Caenorhabditis elegans: one gene and its partners. The protein of the gene in region 1 purifies or fractionates together with the protein of each later gene. This does not show direct contact. Each region holds a gene or a part of one and is shown in the gene's direction. Other genes may lie near its edges.

What was found.
Region 2: the proteins of sel-10 (region 1) and fem-3 purify together in Caenorhabditis elegans (affinity purification with western blotting, with the first as the bait; one study listed by BioGRID). This does not show direct contact.
Region 3: the proteins of sel-10 (region 1) and fem-2 purify together in Caenorhabditis elegans (affinity purification with western blotting, with the first as the bait; one study listed by BioGRID). This does not show direct contact.

Annotation. Positions count from the first base shown.
Region 1 is NC_003283.11:13,816,594-13,824,107, forward strand, and holds sel-10 (F-box/WD repeat-containing protein sel-10), read left to right. Parts: upstream 1-2,767; 5' UTR 2,768-2,771; coding exon 2,772-2,861; intron 2,862-2,926; coding exon 2,927-2,994; intron 2,995-3,036; coding exon 3,037-3,133; exon of another isoform or gene 3,134-3,256; intron 3,257-3,367; coding exon 3,368-3,502; intron 3,503-3,550; coding exon 3,551-3,696; intron 3,697-3,744; coding exon 3,745-3,864; intron 3,865-3,924; coding exon 3,925-4,317; intron 4,318-4,664; coding exon 4,665-4,890; intron 4,891-4,939; coding exon 4,940-5,122; intron 5,123-5,429; coding exon 5,430-5,571; intron 5,572-5,621; coding exon 5,622-5,785; 3' UTR 5,786-6,387; downstream 6,388-7,514. Other genes in the region: F55B12.2 (Carbohydrate sulfotransferase), read right to left, coding at 1-48, 317-384; hpo-31 (CCA tRNA nucleotidyltransferase 1, mitochondrial), read left to right, coding at 6,567-6,616, 6,670-6,826, 6,872-6,967, 7,016-7,133. UniProt on the Caenorhabditis elegans protein: Probable substrate recognition component of SCF (SKP1-CUL-F-box protein) E3 ubiquitin-protein ligase complex, which mediates the ubiquitination and subsequent proteasomal degradation of target proteins.
Region 2 is NC_003282.8:9,102,179-9,108,773, forward strand, and holds fem-3 (Sex-determination protein fem-3), read left to right. Parts: upstream 1-2,787; 5' UTR 2,788-3,023; coding exon 3,024-3,094; intron 3,095-3,184; exon of another isoform or gene 3,185-3,192; coding exon 3,193-3,537; intron 3,538-3,582; coding exon 3,583-3,661; intron 3,662-4,032; coding exon 4,033-4,380; intron 4,381-4,462; coding exon 4,463-4,553; intron 4,554-4,933; coding exon 4,934-5,166; 3' UTR 5,167-5,429; downstream 5,430-6,595. Other genes in the region: C01F6.14 (Ovule protein), read right to left, coding at 1,719-1,943. UniProt on the Caenorhabditis elegans protein: Required for male development. In XO (male) animals, fem-3 directs male differentiation in all tissues. In XX (hermaphrodite) animals, it specifies the first 80 or so germ cells to be sperm. Negatively regulates male development when bound to tra-2.
Region 3 is NC_003281.10:630,853-637,592, reverse strand, and holds fem-2 (Protein phosphatase fem-2), read left to right. Parts: upstream 1-2,966; 5' UTR 2,967-3,020; coding exon 3,021-3,059; intron 3,060-3,113; coding exon 3,114-3,453; intron 3,454-3,864; coding exon 3,865-4,061; intron 4,062-4,111; coding exon 4,112-4,721; intron 4,722-5,020; coding exon 5,021-5,184; 3' UTR 5,185-5,574; downstream 5,575-6,740. Other genes in the region: sbds-1 (Ribosome maturation protein SBDS), read left to right, coding at 455-880; eakr-4 (EAK-4 Related), read left to right, coding at 1,426-1,551, 1,900-1,998, 2,053-2,112, 2,173-2,295, 2,353-2,700; T19C3.6 (uncharacterized protein), read left to right, coding at 6,606-6,734. UniProt on the Caenorhabditis elegans protein: Dephosphorylates auto-phosphorylated Ca(2+)/calmodulin-dependent protein kinase unc-43/CAMKII in vitro. Involved in the regulation of sex determination.

The DNA of each region.
Region 1 (7,514 bases):
ACTATGAAGTTGATGGCAAATGCTTGAAATATGATTCTGTTTTTTGAACTGAAACAGTTTAAGCATTAAAGGAAGCATTGAAATCAATACAAAATTAAAATTGAAAAACAAAAAACTAAACCATTGAGGTCTGAAACATTCTTAGTTTAAAAAGTGAGTATTTTGCAATAAAACACATGCTTTGGCTTCTAAATTCACAGATTTGAAACGTTACAGAACTTATTTCAGCAATCGAATTAAAAGAAAATTTCCCATAAAATGCTGTAATCATTTTTTCCCTGAAACCTACAGTAGTATCGAGTCCTAATCAACTTACCGATCCGCAGACTGTTTTCTAACAATTTTCAGATTTGTCAGTAGAAATAAATGCCCATTCTTGGTCATGATCATTTGGTAACCATAAAAGATCGTCGTTGTCTTTTGATTCTCGTTTGCCAAATAGAGCAAGACACGGTTGTTTGATGCCAAAACGGAGGGAGTAGACACAAAAATGGGACAGAATAGAGTGTGGAGTGATTTTTAAAATGTAAACATTTCCAGGATATGAGCCACAAAAAGGGATATAGACCGGCAGCAAACATTACTGTACATGATGTATGAAAAAAAGAATGCCGACCAATCAAAATCACATTGAACGATGGTTGTGTCTGGATCTCAATGATCTCGGATGAAAATGGGAGTAATTAAATTGTGCCTAAAAGTAGTTTCAAAGTTGCATCCATTTTTGATGCTTCCACTTCAACTTTTGAACACACGTAGATTACCAGAATTTCAAATCGGATCAGAAAGTAAATACCGTAGTTCTTTTGTTGTAGGGGTGGGCGGTAATCAAGGAATTTTCTAAAAAATGTTCAATTTCGGCAATTTCTGAACATGCCGTTTTTCGATAAACCAACAAACAGATCATCATATTGTAATCAAAAAGTTTGTAAGTTGGCCATTTATATTTGAAAATAAATAAAGCTCTACAAAAATAATACATTTGTTTTTCTGAAATACCCATTTTTAATAATTTGTGGGCAACATATAATAGTCTTAACAACAGACTGAACACTTTTTAATTTTAAATCAGGTATACCCACTATTTCATTTTCTAGACACCATACCGAAAACCCTAAATTTTGGCAACACGTATGATGTTGGTATTTGATTTTATCCTTAAATTTACAATTAGAGCTCATTTTTATTCTGTTTTTGTTTCTATAGTTTTGCAGTTCAAATTTTAATTATAATGTGAAAATCTTCCAAGAAAACATTTTTTCAGCTTTCCAAAATCGTTCTACAGAAATTTCCGAATTGGTCAGGTCTCTTTCAACTAATCGAATTTTTTGACATACTGGAGCTGGACTAGTATCAAAATTGCCAAATTATTTTAATTTAATTATTTTCATGTTTCGTCGTCCTTTTTTTATCGAAATGATATAGGTAGAAAGGCGTGAAAATAAAAATATATTTCACGAATTTATTGTCTGATACCAACGTCATTCTTGAATAGATTTGGATTTTATTTCAGTTTTTATTTCACTAAATAAACATATCAAAAGTGTTGGAAATTGTGGCTCCTCCTGAAGTCGAACAATCGGAATTTCCGTTTTCAGAGAATGTAGGCTATTTCAAATAATCGTATTTTTCGGTTTTGTGCAATTTCTAGCATATTGAATATATATCTTGCAAATGTGATGTGTTGCTGACAAATATGAATTTTAACTTTCGCTGATAAATATCAGTACAATTTATGAATTGAATCCTCTCAATCACATCTCAATTCTTTCATATTCGTCCCCCCGCAATACAAAGCCAATAAAGTGTGAAAAACAAAGAAATGGAGCAAATAGTGAGCTATGACTCAACTAACGTATTTCAGATGGGAATTGCAGTTTAGTCATGAATGTGTTATCATATCAGAAATAGTTCTTGACATTTGTGAAGAAATATTATACAGAAATTCCAAAGCGATTGTTTCCAATTGTGGCAGGTGTTCGTGTCTCTTTTTCTGTCAGTTTATGGTATTCATTTCCATAAAATTACCCCCTCGGTAGCCACAGATGGTCATAATTCTTTTGAATTCAGTTATGGAAATACCACATTACGTTCAGAATGTTACAGATTTTAAATCATTTTTCTTTTGTGGTTGTAAATTGAATCACTTGTTTTAAAAAACCATATTACCTATATGTATTATTTTATTCAAAAACTGAATTAATATACTCAGTTTAAAATTTCAAAACAAGAGTTTTCGTGGGATGCAGTTCGTTTTTTAAATTCCTTATTATCCTGAAATTTATAAGGATGGTTTACTTGTGCAATACGAAACAACCTTTCCGTAAAAATGATTTTGAAACAAGGTTGAACACATTTTTCTGCACCATCATGAAGGACGAGAACCCAGCTGTCATATGCAACAGCAGTGACCATCGAACACCTGCTTCTTCTGTGAAACTGATTATGTGACCGACAAGTCGGACATTTTATATTTTATTTTACACGAGAATATTTGTTGAAGTTATCTTATCAACTTTATACACTTTATATGCATAGAAAATGTTTCATCGTGTGAACATCAAGTGAACAAACGTGCGCGTCGGAAAATGCGTCAAGCGGTTATTGGCGCACTACTGGATGCCTTGACGCATATCGCGTGCAAAAAGCTTTCATCTTCTCTTCTCATTTTCTCACGAAAATCATAGTTTTATCGACTTTCCTTTTGTGTTCAAATTCTTCATTCCCAGTAGTTTTTGTCCTTTATTCATTTCCAATTCTTTTTCAGCCATATGTGGCCACGAAATGATGTACACATGGATGATGGATCGATGACACCGGAGGACCAGGAGCCTGTTACCGATAATGATATGGAATATAATGTATGTTAACATTTACAACCCTTTTCAGAATATAATTTAATTCTAATTGAAATGTTTGTCTTCAGGACAATGGAGAAGAAAGCTCGTACAGCAATGGCTCTTCTTCCAGCTACAATGCTGACAAATTATCGTCGTAAGCCTTTTTGTAGTGAATATTTATAGCAAAACGTACCAGTTCCAGACCTTTGCAACACAAACTTGATTTATCGGCTTCTCCCTCTCGAAACAACGACCTCAATCCGCGTGTCGAACATTTGATCGCATTATTCAAGGTAAACATATTGATTGATTGTCGCGATCAATCTTTCAGCGTTGCGGCTAATACACATGCAATAAATTAATATTTGAATGCGACAATAATTAGTAACATGACAAAACAATGCATTCAAGCTCCGGTGAGGGTGACCTGTGTATTATTGATTTTTCCAAACCTTGAAGAGAGCACCTCAGCCAGGCATATTCGCTCTATTTTTGCTGAAAAAAAGTGTAATTTGAATTCATTTTAGGATCTATCAAGCGCGGAACAAATGGATGCATTCACACGTCTGCTTCAGGAATCCAACATGACAAATATTCGACAGCTGCGTGCCATTATTGAACCCCATTTCCAGCGTGATTTCCTCTCCTGCCTCCCTGTCGAGGTATTTGTGTTGAAACGGAAAGAAAAATTATAAATATAACTTTTTCAGCTCGGAATGAAAATCCTTCACAATTTAACCGGATATGACCTGCTCAAAGTGGCACAGGTGTCGAAAAATTGGAAATTGATATCTGAAATTGACAAAATTTGGAAGAGTCTTGGTGTCGAAGAGTTTAAACATCATCCAGATCCCACGTAATACTTTTGAACGGGAATTATTTGAGATTAGTATTATCTTTTCAGAGACCGAGTTACTGGTGCGTGGCAAGGAACTGCAATTGCTGCTGGAGTCACTATTCCTGATCACATTCAGCCATGTGATCTTAATGTTCATCGATTTCTAAAGTTGCAGAAGTTTGGAGAGTACGTTTATTGGAAATATTATTTTTAAAGACGTTCCGATCACATTCGATTTATTTTCAGTATCTTCGAACGCGCTGCTGACAAGTCACGTTATCTTCGAGCCGATAAAATTGAAAAGAACTGGAATGCGAATCCAATTATGGGGTCAGCAGTGCTACGAGGACACGAAGATCATGTAATCACTTGTATGCAAATTCATGATGATGTCTTGGTGACTGGATCTGACGATAACACTCTTAAAGTATGGTGTATTGACAAAGGAGAGGTTATGTACACACTAGTCGGCCACACTGGAGGAGTTTGGACATCACAGATTTCTCAATGCGGAAGATATATTGTTAGCGGGTCCACTGATAGAACTGTAAAAGTTTGGAGTACTGTAGATGGTTCACTTCTTCATACACTTCAAGGACATACTTCCACTGTTCGATGCATGGCTATGGCTGGTTCCATGTAAGGCTATTCACTATGATAACTGCTTGGAAAAAGAAATTTAATACTGAAAATTTCGGGTTTCGTACAGTTGAATTCCCTAATTTGCGAGCTATATCAAATCTTGATGGAAAGTTTTTGATTTGTAGATCATTTATATCTTAAGAAAATTATTCTATCTAATTTCACAAAAAAAGTTTATGGTAATTTTTTTAAAACTTTTGTTTCAAAATAGAAAAACACGAACGTGTATTTGGTTGTTTAAGACTTTTTTAATACATTTTCTATCTTAAAAATGAGAAGAAAACGAAAAATCTCGCTGAATAACCACACTTTCAACCCATACATTTTAATTTTAATACTTTCAGACTTGTCACTGGATCACGAGATACCACTCTTCGTGTATGGGACGTAGAATCCGGACGTCACCTGGCAACTTTACATGGCCATCATGCAGCCGTTCGATGCGTTCAATTCGATGGAACAACTGTTGTTTCGGGAGGATATGATTTTACCGTTAAAATTTGGAATGCTCATACTGGGAGATGTATCCGTACTCTGACCGGTCATAACAATAGAGTTTATTCTCTTCTCGTACGTTTTTCTTATAACAAAATCCGAAAAATAATGTTTTTGTTTTCAGTTTGAAAGCGAGCGATCGATCGTGTGCTCTGGCTCTCTGGACACTTCAATTCGCGTGTGGGATTTTACACGACCGGAAGGCCAAGAATGTGTGGCTCTTTTGCAAGGACACACCTCACTTACATCCGGAATGCAACTTCGAGGCAATATTCTCGTGTCATGCAATGCAGATAGCCATGTTAGAGTAAGTATAGAGATGTAAGATTGAGAAACTTGTCATAGTTAAACATTTGTACGAGAGTCTGAATCGCTCTCCTGTTAAACAATTAGAGACCAATTCCAATTAATAAAATTGGTCCTGATGTTTCACTGCGTTTTCTGTCTCTCTGCGGCTGTTTCTACAAAAGCCAATATTCGATGGCAAACAAAGGTGTACGGATCTGAAATGATTTTCAAAAGTATGGAAAAGCACAAAAGCGTAGTAGATAAAGTAACCCTCACATTGTGAGAACATTGAAAAATTGTATTATTTTTTTAAATCATTTTTTCAGGTATGGGATATTCACGAGGGAACTTGTGTACACATGCTTTCTGGACATCGATCCGCTATCACTTCACTTCAATGGTTTGGACGAAATATGGTAGCAACGAGTAGTGACGATGGAACTGTCAAATTGTGGGATATTGAGAGAGGTTAGATCACATAAATTACAGATAGTTTTACCCATAAAAAAATTTTCCAGGTGCACTGATTCGAGATCTAGTAACTTTGGATTCTGGAGGCAATGGTGGCTGTATTTGGAGACTTTGTTCTACTTCTACGATGCTAGCGTGTGCAGTCGGATCTCGTAACAACACCGAGGAGACCAAAGTTATCCTTCTCGACTTTGATGCTGTATACCCTTAACGAATTCTCGAATCTCTGCCCCTGTACATAGAATGTTCTTGCTTAGGAACTAATATTGTACACGATGCCCTCATTTTTAAATCAACAATGCTATCATATCATGGAATATAGTCAAAAGCCAACAGTATTGAAACGTCAAATTTGAGGAAAAACGAATTTATGTGTCTATTCAACTCGTTATATCCCGGCCCGCCACTATAATTTTTCTTTTTTTTACTATTTTTTGTCAGATTCTGTCTCACACTCTTCTCTTTCTCTTTTCGATTGTTTCCCATTAAGTTATCGGGTTTGATTGATTTTATATTTTTATTCAAATGATGGGCTCACTACTCCCAGATTTTGATTTCCTTTATACAATAGTTCAGTCAGTATGTTAGTCCTTATGTGACTTCTTTTTGATCTAATGAGCTTTTTAGTCCCTGTCGGTTCCCTCTTTTTTCGCTTTCATTTTTCGTAAAAACTACTTGTCAAAATTCAAAGTTCTACCCTCGACATTGCCTTTTTTAAAATTTTTGTCTTCGTTTTATCGACTTATGCCAGACGTCATTCGATTAAGTAGGTTAATAACAATTATTTCATAATAATAAATATCGATTCGTGTCATCCGTCTATATGTGATTTTCTTTTAATATCTCTATTGGAGATTTCTCCAAATTATCCTGTAATTTTTCAGTGAGTGAATATCAGCTTTATGAAGTTTGTGTCTAAATTTTTGACCCCAACTACAATAATTAGTTTAACAACCAGAAGTCTATCAACAGCAAAAACTCCAACATACATCATGAATCAAATTGAGCCAACTACAATGAAAATTGATAATGAAGATTTTCGGCAAGTTCCGGATATTTGAAGAATCGTTTTAAGTTTAATTCTATATTTTTCAGAACTCTCTTCACACCTCAACTTTTGAAACTCCGTGATTTATTCGCCAAACGAAATTATGAGCTTCGAATTGCCGGTGGAGCTGTTCGAGATCTACTTATGAACATTCGACCGGCTGACGTTGACTTTGCCAGTACTGCAACACCGACTCAAATGAAGGTTTTAATTGTTTTCCAAATCTCAAAAAAAATATATTTTATTCAGGAAATGTTCGAAGAGGATAAAATTAGAATGCTTCATAAAAGAGGCGAAGAGCACGGAACAATCACGTGTCGCATTGACGATTGTGAAAACTTTGAGGTATTTAGTTTTTAGTTTAATAAATTTAATCTATATACATTTTCCCAGATCACAACGCTTCGTGTAGACATTGTGTGTGATGGAAGAAGGGCTCAAGTTGAATACACAACTGACTGGCAACTTGATGCAAATAGAAGAGATCTTACTATCAATTCACTGTTTTTGGGTTAGTATAGAAATTGGAAATTGAAAGCACTCCGCCCCCGAACCATGGGTCTCGTTAGGAATTGTCAGCAAAACCGTAAATTGAAACTTTCAATTAGTTTCGGCACTTCCGCCAAATTTCAAACATTTTCTGTTTTTTCCTGTTTTTAAAAATAATTTTTATACGGAATTGGATTTAAAATTTATAGTAATATGAAAACCCATTATTCACCTTTCAAATCCGCATAAATTTTTTCAAATCATCATTAGGAAATGAAAAATAATCAAAAACAACAGAAAATCGCCGAAATTAATTGAAAACGTGTGCATTCACGGGCTTTCCGCTAAATACCTAACGAGACCCATAGTTTGTGGGCGGAGTTTTTCAATTGGCAATGGAGCG
Region 2 (6,595 bases), on another chromosome or scaffold:
GAGCAATTTAAAATTGCAAAATGAAACATTTCAGCGAGAAAATAGACATCGCGATAATTTTCAATATATTGGATACAGCTTAAATTGCTTAATCATACAAAAAATGCAAGTCTCCCCAATCAGCGGCGCTTTCAATTTTCACCTCGTGCATCAACTCGACAGCTTTTATATTGAAATTTCTCAACAAATGAGCCATGATGACCTTCTCTTCCATAAGTGCAAAACGTTGACCGATGCAATTACGGCTTCCAGCTGAGAATGGGATAAAGGCGAATGATTTTCGACCAATTGAGTTTTCAGGATGGAAACGATCCGGATCGAAAACATCAGGATCCTTCCATTGAGCAGGATCGCGGTGAACAAGGTACAGGTTGAGCAGAAAAGTGACTCCTTTTGGAATATTAAAGCCTCCAATTACTTGATCATCACTCAGTTCTCTCGTAATAATTAAAACAGATGGAAAGAGACGCAGAGCTTCTTTCAATGCACATTCAAGATATTTCATTCTGGAGAGATGTTCAATAGTCACATCTTCATCGTCGCCCATTACTTCATCCAGTTCCGCTTGAACTTTTCTCTGAACGTCGGGATGATTTCCCAGAAGATGAACTGCCCACATTAATCCTGTAGATGTTGTATCGTGACCCTCTAACATGAATGTGTTACCTTCTGCTTGAACATCTGTTTCGTCCATTTGTCCACTGTTTACCATTTCGAGAAGAAGATCCAGGAATGCGAGACGACCTTCCATCTTATAATCATTCTCCTGTAGTGCTTATTTTCTCTCGCCAATCAATTTCTTCGTAAAATCATGGAAAATATGAAGACATTTTTCATGCGTCCGTCCGTCCTCTGTTCTAAAAATACAAATTAATTGACCTTATTAATGATAAAACTACCGTACAAATTGTAAATAAATGAATTCCACATCAAAGGATTATTTGTTCGCTTTGAAATCAGTTTATTGATTGTGTGCACTGCCCATACATACTCGTTATTCTGAAAAAGTATTTAGAAATGTTGAGATTAGAGTTGTTTTCCCAAACCTCAGCGAGTTGAGCGCCGATAGCTATTCCCATGGAAGTTTCGCAGATGATATCAAGAGTACAAAGGGCGATAACGGAGAGAACATCAACTCTTTCACTGAAAATAAACATTTGAAATAAGTAATTATAAATTGAAATTCTCACTCTGCACCAAGGCAACACAATTTCTGAACCAAAATCTTCAATAAAAGAAAATCAAAAAAAGACGCCATTGTTCTTTCTGGCTCGTCAAAATACTGATTCCAAGCCATGGTTCAAGCAAAACGTATGCGAACCCTGTTCAGATGTTTCGTCGACGAGAAAATTGCTTCAACAAGGTCGCCAGAGTAGAGCATCAGGCATGGGAATGGACCAATCCACAGAAGACACATTCGTGGATCTGGATATAAATATCCCATTCCAATCACTTGGTTCATGAATCCCTCTGGATCTGGCTTGGTGATGAGTCCGTGACCGATGATTGGGTATGATCGTGGCTGATTGAGATGCTGAAAATTTATTGAAGTTATTCATAAATTTATTTTGAAATCAAACCTTCAAAGCTTGACGCATTCTCAAGTGTTTGTAGAGCAGCCAAGCGATCACCGTCGCCGAAGCCAGAAGTACAGCGAGGATGATAACCCCCATGCATATGATGAATAAAAAAATATTAAATAAAATAAATGTTTATTTTCATAAAAACTGGACAAATTTCATATATGGACTTATCGGAACAAAAAGAAAGAAATAATAATAAACCAAAAAATTTGAAAATCTATGATAAAACCTTTCAGATAACTTCTCCACAGTCGGTGATGACGCAAGCCTTGGAACCCTTCGTGTTTGATTTATTGAAGGCGATGCGGGAGACAACTTCGGTTCCAGCCAAAACTTTACCAAATGCCACGGTTTTTCCATTCATCGATTCATATGGAAGAATCGAGATGTTGAACAACGAGCTGTTATTGTCTTCTTTCAATCAATTTTCCTGAAAAAAAAAGCTGATTTCAGATGCGGATATTCATGAAATAAAAAAGCAGATGAATAAAAATAAATAAATTCCCATTTCAGTCTCTCAATTTAGAAATGCTGAAAAACTGACCATCGGCAATATTCCCGGATTTTGATGCATTTCAAGATACTTTTCATTTTTGAAATTCTTTTCGGCAAAAAACGTATGGGTCAAACATTAGCCAAATAAATATTCTGAAAAGTTAGTTTTTGATAGCATCTTTTAAGCTGGATTTTGTCAATTTATAAAACTTTTAGATGCCTAAACATCACTTACAAGATTGAAAGCCCAATGAAAAAAACTAATGTTCAAATGAGTTAGCAATGGAGCGCGTTTACGTTCTTTGCGCGAGCTTCGAATTTTTCTGCTTTTATTTTCAGAAAAAAACACTTTCTGAAGTTTTTCAGTTTTCCTTCAATTTGTTATATCTGGTTTCATGCATTTTTTAATCGTAAGAAAATTTCATATTCATTTTAGTTTATCGAAATAAGAATTACTGTTTTAAAAATTAAACAGAATTGAGAAAACCACAAACTAAGCGCCCTGTGTTATTTTTTAACCAAAATTTCTCAGATTTTAAAAGATATTCTGAATTGATGCGAAGTAATCGTGTTTCTCTAAATTATATTCTCAGTTATTCTAAAAATTCCCCTCCTCTTCTCACATGCTCTTTTCCTAATTCTCAATGCAATTTTTCACAATTTATATTATATTCACAACCAAAACTATATTACTAATCGAAAATTGCAGACGCTGTCCGAACAGTTGTAGGAGTGGTGTCGGGCGACGTCAACGTCTCGAAACAGAACCAGGACTGCGAACGCGGAGAATTTTGTCTGCACTCTCTCCGAAGAGAGTGCAGAGAAAACCAGAAACGGGTAGTAGACCACCCAGTCGGTTAACTACGGTGGATTGGAAGAAGTGACCAGCAAGAAATTTCAATGTAAAAATAAGAGAGATTTCCATTTATTTCAATTGTAACTGTAATGGAGGTGGATCCGGGTTCAGATGATGTAGAAGCTGACAGAGAAACGAGAGCTCAGAAACTAAAATTAAAGTAAGTTAAATTTTTTAATGTTTTTTTTTGTTGAAATTGTTTTAAATTCTTTAATTCACATCCAGTCAAACTAAAATGATCAAAAACTAGGTTTTCAGAAGAAATGTCAAATTCCGTGCACAAATGAGAAGATTCGACGAGTACTGTGGAGTGACTAATTTAACAGTAGATGATCTCAATTGGCCTTTAATATCTGGAATTCCTTTACAAAGACAACGATTGACAGGAGCTACGTATTATGATGATAGTCTTCTCGATCAAAATCCTTGGGATGAATTTTCAATTGATCGATTTCTTGAAATTACTTCAATTCAATTAATAACAGCCGGTGCTGGATATGAAAGGAATGATGAAATTACTCGATTCGTTTTTCAAAGAACAATGAAGACAATTGTAACTTATTGCAATTTTATGTATGATTTGGCAAGGCGGAACGGGAAAGTGTGAGGCGAATCTGAAATTTTATAAAATAAAATTTTAATTTTCAGTCAAATAACTCGATTCGAGTTGCAAGATTTGATTCATCGCGATGAATTTCGGTTTTACATGTATTTTCGACAATTTTTAGTGAGTTTCCTTGTTTTATCATAAATTAAAACAAGCTCTACTTACCCGATTTTTTTTTCGATTTTTGAACCAAAAAAGGGATATCCGACTCGACACGACAATTTTTAGTTAAATAAAAACGGGTGTGTGCCTTTAATAAGTACTGTAATTTTAAACTTTCGTCGCTGCGGAATTTTCTTAGTTTTTCGGAAAATTGTTTTAATTAAAAAACTAAAATTACGCAATTACCAAAAAAAAACAGGGATTTTAAGAAATCAGGAAAACATGTAAAAACCGGTGAAAATTTAACAAAAACAAAATCTTGAAATTCCAGTACTCTTCAACGGCGCATTTCCGTTTGTATTTTACTTTTTTTAAAATCCTAATTCCAGCCCAATCCGGATCCGAATTGTACGGCCTTTTCCAATCACTACACGTCTCTTCTTCATACACTCTATTTCAATATTCCGGGAATGCCACAGTTTTGGAACAATTCCCAAATGTATAATTACGCTGCTACCCGTGGTCAACGCCTTGTTCAAAATATCGCCGCTTTTTATCCACCCGAATATTTTTGGAACGAAGATGAATCCAAGTATCATACTACGTTTGTGGTTCCACGTGGCACAGAGTTCTCAAAGTTTTATGCTCGAAGATTTCATGAAGCACTTGGAATGCCACCACTGGAAAATGAGATTATTACGGTTTTGGATTGGCTTGCGAAGCTCTGCATTTTGGAAGTAAGCATTTTAAAAATGTTATTTATGTACTCATATATTAATTTAAAGCTTTTAAGCGTTAAAAACTATTTTACATTTGTAGATTGTATATCACACAACGATTTGGTGCGACATAACTGGATTTGGAGGGCTTCCACGTATTGAGCACTATCGTTTAGCCATGGAGAATGTTGGTAGGAATTTATTGTTAAAATAATTTAAAAGTATATACATGACATGTTTTTCAAAATATAAAACACAATTTTTTTAAAGCGAAACTTTAAAAAATCATCAAAAGTCGAATAGCGTAAAGGGAATTTTTGTTTTCATAGTCGCAAATTTCTAAATTCTACAACAGAAAGACAAAAAATCGACATAAAAAATCCATCGTTTGAAAACATGCTTTTTCGATTTTGGCATTTTTTTGTATTGAATTCAAACCCGGATGTTAGCAAAAATTTTTAAAAAATCACGTTTTCGGTATTACTAAATTCTCCACATTTAAAAAGAGTCCATTCTGAAACTTTTTCGATTAAAAAATTTCTTTCACAACTATGTTTTGTTCTAATTTCAGAAGACATCATATTCGACTTGGCAATTGATGATTTCTCAATTTCCCGTCTACAGTTACAAATTTCGCCGTTTGAAATCTCTCGCTACTCACCTCTAGATGTATCTGGTTATTATGAAACAATTAAAAGAAAAAAAGATATTGAAGAATATCAAAATCGTTTCTATGAAGTTCATTATTCTGATGATGTTCGGATTATGAATGTTTATGCTACTGATTGCTCCAGGAAACGATGATATCAATTGTTATAATGATTTGCTTTTAATTTTAATATTATTTCATTTGAAAGTCTAACTCTCTATATTTTACCCAGATTTCCTATTTAATATCACCGATTTGCCTTCTATCTCACTAACGCTTCTTGTGTCATTCACTTTCGAATCCTCTGGTTTACATTTTGAAAAATGTCATAATGGTACACTGCTAAAAAAAGCTGGTTCCATATCACTTTAATTTGTTTTAAGATTTGTTTAATTTAAAATAAAGGTATAGATAATATCGATTAAGCTGCTTACAATTGGTTAGACGCTACGCAAGTGCGCTCTGGTAGACAAACAATAGCATCTGTTGAGTGCGCAGTTGGTTTACACTCATTCAAATGTGTACGGGTGTGGCATTCGAAACATTTCGAATGAAACACTAAGAGTTCCAGTTGCTTTTACGAGTTTTTGTGTAATTTTCAGTTGATTTAACGTTTATTGCTCATTGCTAGAAGCCGAACTACAAAAAACCCACTATTTGGCAATTAGTCTACTACGACTCAATTGGTAAAATATTTCGAAAGTTATATTTTTCCAATATAACCATCAATTTCATAATGTAGCATCTTTCCTTCAATTTTTAATATTTTTTTGTCATTCTGAATAAAAAAGTACAAAAGTCATGCTGAAAAGGATACATATCGATACAATTCCACATGAATATAATTTGAATTTCTATTCAACTGATATACATTACACATATTCGCGTGTGCTAGAAAACTCGTATTTTCCCATTCGATACATCATCTGCCAACTTTCTTAACAATCCCAAGATCGTCACCCTTTCCTCCACAGCACCAGTCCCGCCTTTTTAACAACGATCTGTTTTTAATGGATGCTCGATCTATATGCATTAATTCATTCTATCATTCATTTACCGAGATGGTCATAACATATTTCATTTATTTATGGTTTTTTTTGCTTTTCCAATGTATTATAGTTATATGAAATTCTCTGTAGTTCTAAAGTAAGTCGCATTTTACCAATCTTTTGTATATATTTTTAAAGCTTTGCTAAACTAAGAAAAATTATACAGGCTAGATTTTTCTAAACTTTATAATTTACAATCTTTAAATTTTGATGTCCAAGTTCCTCTTGATAAGAATCGAGCACTTTATAAAGAAACTACGAATTTAATAATCAATCTTCAACAACTCCCCCAAATTGGTAATTTCTGTGTTTTATTTTTTGATGTCACCTACCTATTCTAATTAAAATAATACTATCTCTGCCAATTTGATAAACGACCTTTCCCATCTTCTCCGAAGTTCCAAGTAGCCATCTCCAGATACTCCATCCACCTAGTCTATCGATTGAAAAGTCTTCACTTCCAAACGCTGCGTTTACCTATTTCCCCATTCTCAGAGAATATCCCACACAGAGTCAATCATTCATTCCGCCGACT
Region 3 (6,740 bases), on another chromosome or scaffold:
AAATGTAAATTTTCCTCCAAAAAAAATCCTGAAAAATCTCAATTTTTCTTCAAAAAAAATCCTGAAAAATCTCAATTTTCGTCAAAAAAATTCCTGAAAAATGTAATTTTTCATCCAAAAAATTCCTGAAAAATCTCAATTTTCCTTCAAAAAAAATTCCTGATAAATCTTAATTTTCCTCCAAAAAAAAAATCCTTTAAAAATCTCAATTTTTATATAAAAAAATTCTTGAAAAATGTGAATTTTCATCCAAAAAAATTCCTGAAAAATCTCAATTTTCCTCTAAAAAATTCCTAAAAAATTCCTAAAAAATTTCAATTTTCCTCCAAAAAAATTCCTGAAAAATCCCAATTTTTTCTAAAAATTCCTAAAAAATCTTAATTTTCTCCCAAACAAGTTCCTGAAAATTTTTAATTTTTCTTCAAAAAAATCCTGAAAAATCTCAATTTTCCAGGTATCCCAGCTGATTGCCTCAATGGTCGTAAATCCTGAAACGAAGCGTCCAGTTCCACCGTCAGTAATCGATAAAGCTCTACAAGAAATGCACTTTTCCCTGAAACCGAATCGTTCCTCAAAGCAGCAGGCTCTCGACGCAATTCCAAAACTTCGTGAAACTCTGAAAATCGAACGAGCCAAGATGAAGATCCGTGTGGCGATTCCGACAAAAGAAGCGAAATCCGTGCACACGAAGCTTAAAACCCTATTCAGTGACGTGGAAGTTGACGATTGGCAGGATGGAAGCCTCGAGATGGTTGGGCTCATTGAGCCCGGATCGTTCAGAGCTTTGGACGATTTGGTCCGAAATGAGACGAAGGGACACGGAAGATTGGAGATTCTCAGCTTGAAGGATGTCGTCGAAGGAGAATTGCAGATTTCTTAAATTTCATGTTAAAAATTTTATTTTTTTGTTGCTTTTTTGCTCTTTTGCACTCAAAATGTGCAGACATTTTTGAGTGTTTTTCTTTTTTTCCCCTCCACACACCCGAGAATTCTTTTTGGATCTCAAATTGTTATCATCAACGTTCCCATGTTTTTTCCCAGTTACCAAAAACTTTTTGTGTCAGGTTTTCAGAAATCATTATTGCTTTTAAATGAAAAGTGTTAATCTTACAAATTTTTGAGAAAAACAATTTGGAAAAAAACCCCAGGAACATGATTTGAAGGCTAGAAAACTAATTCTCTAAGTTTCCCCGGCTCGAAAAAAATTCGTTCAATATTTATTTTCCATCACTTTGCATAATTTACAGTACTCACCAGGCCAGCGAAATTCATGAAATTGTACAATTTTCTTGTTGTTTTTCCAACAAAATTTAAAAATAACCCGGACTAGTCGAAAACAAGGCAGTCGTGGGGTACTGTAAATTAGGCGGCCTACCAAGTTGAGCCTTCGCCAAGTAATCCTCTATTTCCCTGTCACAACCGATAATGGGGCAATGTCTTGGAACCCTGTGCACTGTAGATTCAGCTACAGATAATATTTCCAGCGTCTATCAGCTGGCAGGCCCAGTTGCGGTGAAAGAGAGCCCACGTATTGCTGAACGGGACCCAAAGGTAATATTTTTCGTTTTTTTTTCAGAGTCTTATGTTTTCAATCTTTTTTGCTGAGAAACCTTCGAAAAAAAAAACAAATCTAAGCTTAAGTCTAAACCTAAGCCTATGCCTGGAGACACAAGCCTAAGCCTACGCATAAGCCTAGGCCTAAACCTAAGCCTACACCTAAGCTTAAGCCTAAAGGTTAGCCTAAGACTAAGCTCACACCTAAGCCTAAGACTCAGCCAAAGCCTAAGACTCAGCCTAGGCCTCAGCCAAAGCCTACGCCTAAGTCTATGCCAATTTCTAAGTCTATGCCTTTGACAATACCTAAACGTATGCCTATACCTAAGCTCAAGAAATTTTCAGGTCAAAATCTCTGTGAATCCCGAGGAGGAAAATGTTGAACGCCCCTGTGTACTTTACTCGAAAAGTAACGAGATTATCAAAAAACCGGATATTTTTGAGGTGAGAATATTCTTAATCACGGGCACGGATTTTCTCAAATTTATAAATTTTTAGGAAATCTACAAGCGCACACCGATCACCCTCTCGAATAACGGTAGAATTGACGTTGCCGAGGTTTTTTAAACATATTTTTTTCAAAATTACATTTATCAAGAACTGAATTAATGAATTCAGCTTCCCGCCGGACAACGAGTCATTGAAGTAGAGAACAACGAGGTTCGCGACAAGTATAAAAAAACGTTGTACGAGATTCGGAGAAAATGCAGGGAACTTCAGAATTTGGGTGCTGAGGATGAGGTAGGCGGCCTTCAATGGCGTTTGAGTTAACTCAAGAAAAATCTGCGATTTTTCCAGGAAACCGGTGAAATCATCGATACTCTTCTTATTCTTTACAAGGACTTCTTCTTACTAACCACGTGGAAAATCGATAAGTACGCCCAGTTGAGAAAAAATGCCGCAGTTCAAGCTTACAACTCGCTACCCAAGCTTAGAGCCGACCCCGCTGAATTCCGATGCCACGTGGAGTTTCAGTATCGCGTGGCAAATGAGCTATGGGAGCATTTCAAGGAGACATATATCCACAAATATGAAGCATGTAATTGGGCGGAGAGGGCGAAAGTGAAGGAATGGGATCTTTTGGACAGCCAAGTACAGACGCCGAATGTGGAGTGGGATTATCTTGGCGCGCATGGATATATATGAATAATTGATTTTTATTTTAAATTTTTGATCCATTTTTGATTTGATAAAAATGTTATTAATACAATACAATGCGAATTAAATTAATATTTCGCGCGAGAAACGCGCCAACGCACCGAAAGTGCGCAAACGAGAAGCTTTGCGCGTTTCTGGTGCAGAAAATTCTGCATTATTTTTTTGTTGATTTTTCCTCATTTTGTGTTGAAATCCATTGTTTTTTCTCGGTTTTTCTCTGATTTTTATGTTAAAAACAATTATTGAAATGTCAGATCAACCCAGCTGTCCCACCGAAGCCGGTAGTGGTTTTAAAACTGGAAAAATACATGGAAAAAGTAAACGAGGAGCGGGATGCGGTTTTCGAGGTAGAAAACGGGATTTTATATATTTAATGCTAGTTAGAAAAATGTATATTCCAGGATCACATCGGCGATCGCCGTCGAAGTGTCCGGTCACTTCTGGAGGAGGCATTTGCAGATGAAATGGAGAAAACTAGCTATGACGTCGAGGTTGCCGACACTCCACAACCGCATATTCCAATACGTTTCCGTCATCCACCAATCGCCGGACCAGTTCATGATGTTTTCGGAGACGCGATTCACGACATTTTCCAGAAAATGATGAAAAGAGGCCAGGCGGTCGACTTTTGTCACTGGGTGTCTCACTTGATCGCCACAGAAATTGACGAGAAATTCAGTGAAGTTGCGTTCAGAGATGTTCAGTATAATCCTGATATTTATGTTACCGATAGTACCACAGGTAATTATTAAATGTGCAAAATCTGCTATTAATTTAGCAGACCAAGCATGGGCCTGCTAAATATTCAGCAGGCCTATCCCCATTGGTCTGCTAAATATTTAGCATACCTAACTTGGGTCTGCTAAATATTTAGCAGACCCATCCCCATTGGTCTGCTAATTATTTAGCAGACCAACTATGGGTCTGCTAATTATTTAGCAGACCACCTATGGGTCTGCTAAATATTTAGCATACCTACCATGAGTCTGCTAAATATTTAGCAGACCTATCCTCATTGGTCTGCTAAATATTTTTAGCTGGCCATTCCCCATTGATCTGCTAATTTTTGCAAAAATAAAACTTGTTAAATAGAATTTTTAAAAAATCTTCAAAAACTCAACACTTCTGTTCATCAATACAACTTATTTTCAGAAGCCAAAAAGCTATTCAACGACAAAATTTGGCCGGCGATCGACAAGATTCTCCAGCAAAACGCCGAAACGTGCCCGATTCTGTCTGAAAAGTGGTCTGGAATCCACGTGTCGGGCGATCAACTGAAAGGGCAACGTCACAAGCAAGAAGATCGGTTTTTGGCGTATCCTAATGGGCAATATATGGATCGTGGAGAGGTTTAGGAGGATTTTAGGCCTGGAAAATTACTGAAAAATGAAATTTTTAGGATCCAATTTCGGTGTTAGCGGTGTTCGATGGTCACGGTGGTCACGAGTGCTCTCAGTACGCAGCCGGGCACCTTTGGGAGACATGGTTGGAGGTTCGAAAATCGCGAGATCCTTCAGATAGCCTCGAAGATCAGCTTCGCAAGTCGCTGGAGCTTCTCGACGAACGAATGACTGTCAGAAGTGTGAAAGAGTGTTGGAAGGGTGGAAGTACAGCTGTCTGCTGTGCAATCGACATGGATCAGAAGCTTATGGCGCTGGCGTGGCTCGGTGACTCACCCGGATACGTCATGTCGAACATTGAATTCCGTCAGTTGACACGTGGACACTCGCCATCCGATGAACGGGAAGCTCGGCGTGTTGAGGAAGCTGGCGGCCAGCTTTTTGTGATTGGAGGCGAATTGCGGGTGAACGGAGTTCTAAATCTCACCCGAGCACTCGGAGATGTTCCTGGACGGCCGATGATCTCTAATGAACCGGAAACGTGTCAGGTGCCTATTGAAAGCTCGGATTATCTGGTGCTCCTGGCTTGTGATGGAATTTCTGATGTTTTCAACGAGCGTGACCTGTACCAGTTGGTGGAGGCATTTGCGAATGATTATCCTGTTGAAGGTTAATAAAAATTCTTGGAGAAAAACTAAATTTCCAAAGCCAAAAACTATTTTTTCGTTTTTTTTTTCTGAAAAAAAATCAGAAGATTGGCTATTTTTCGGGGGTTTTCAAAAAAAAAAGTAAAGATTTTCGAATTATTGTATTTTTAAAAAAGAAAATCGGGTAATTTACTAAAATTTGAAAAAATCAATTTTTAAAAAAACCATTCAAAATTATTTTTAAGGTAAAAAACATTAGCCGACGTTACTTTATTTTTTAATGTAGAAAATTCTTTAAAAATCGAAAAAAAATTTTTTCAGACTACGCGGAGCTCTCCCGTTTCATCTGTACAAAAGCGATTGAGGCTGGAAGTGCCGACAACGTGTCTGTTGTGATTGGCTTTTTGCGTCCACCGCAGGATGTGTGGAAGCTTATGAAACATGAATCAGACGATGAAGATTCCGATGTCACTGATGAGGAATAACTGCTTTTCGGTGGAAATTTTGCCTGAAAATTGGGAAAATTCTTGCTAAACTTCGGTTGATTTTCTCAAATTTTTGTCGTTTTTTTTCCTAATTTTCGGTCGATTTTATCAAATTTTCCCCTGTTTTCCTGTGTCTATTTGTTTTTTGGGTATTCCAATTTTCTCTCTCCTATTCACCATATCGTCGTCATTTCTCCCCGTTATCTAGCAGCTTTCCGTGACCCACACACATATTTTGTTCTCGGTGTTCCTGTAGCATTTCACATTTACATACGTTTCCAACCAGTTGGCATCCCACCAAAAATCCGAGTACTTTCCTTCTCCTCCTCCACTTGAACATATATTTGATTTGAATTTATTTTATGATATAAATTGTATAATGACGTGGAATTACTGGGATATTGAGTAGCTGAATAGGTTTTTGAGACACTTTTTGAACACTGAATTTTCATAAATGACTGTAAACTTTTCAACTCGTGAAAAATGTAAAAAATCGGAGTATACCAGTCATTTTCAGTAGAAAATCTCCTTTTCAATTGAAAATCCGGGATTTTTCGAAAGAAAAGCTCGAAAACACCGCGAAAAAATGATTAAAAAAGTCATATTTTCAAGAGGGAATTTCAAATTTCCCGCTTACAGCAAATGCGCTCTATTAACAAAGAAAGCAGAATTTAGCTGAAACACGGCCCGGCAAAGGGTACATCAGTGTAAACGCGCTCTACTGATAATTGCAGTTTAGCCAGGTTTGGGCGCGTTTTAAGGAAAAAAGATTTGGTCCAAAAAATTTTGAATTTAATTTTTTTTTATGGTGGAATTTTACAAAATTTGATTTTTTTTAAATTTTCGATACGAAATTCTAATTTAGCGTCATTGGTGATTTTACAAATTTTCAGCATTTTGTCGTCAAATTTGGTGTTGCCACAGTACTTACATACTTTTGGAGCTACAGTAACCCAATGTTCACCGACATGTGGCGCCAGACTGTCCCATCGCTCTACTGCGCCAGAAAAGCGTGAAAATATTTTTTGAAATTTTGTGACGTCACAGAGCATTTCGAATAATTGTTTTTGCAGTTTAAGCCTCGATTTTCGCCGTTTTTTGCGTCGAATAACTTTAATTTATAAAAATGATATATTAAAATGAACTTACTATTAGGAAGATATACATATAACCCTTTAAAAATCTGAATTATTATTAAATTGTTCCCTTTTTTTTCTATTCATCACAATTTCTAGTCATGTAGACAATAACAATTAGAAGATGCACAAAAACGGCATATTTATAATTTTTCACCCAATTTTGTACAGTATCCAAATTCATATACGACACCCCCTGCCAAATTCTGAGAAAAACAATTAGAGGCGCATATAAAATTTGGTCGACTTCACTTTTTTTTTCTCATTTTCACTCGATTTTCTGCGATGGGATTGGTTACAAGTATTCTGGGACGGCGAGAGTATCGTTTGCTCCAAAATTCGGTTACCAAGAAGCATTTGTGCAAATTTATGGGTGTAGAGTTCGACTACAATGACTTGGATGAGATTACCGAGGTGAGA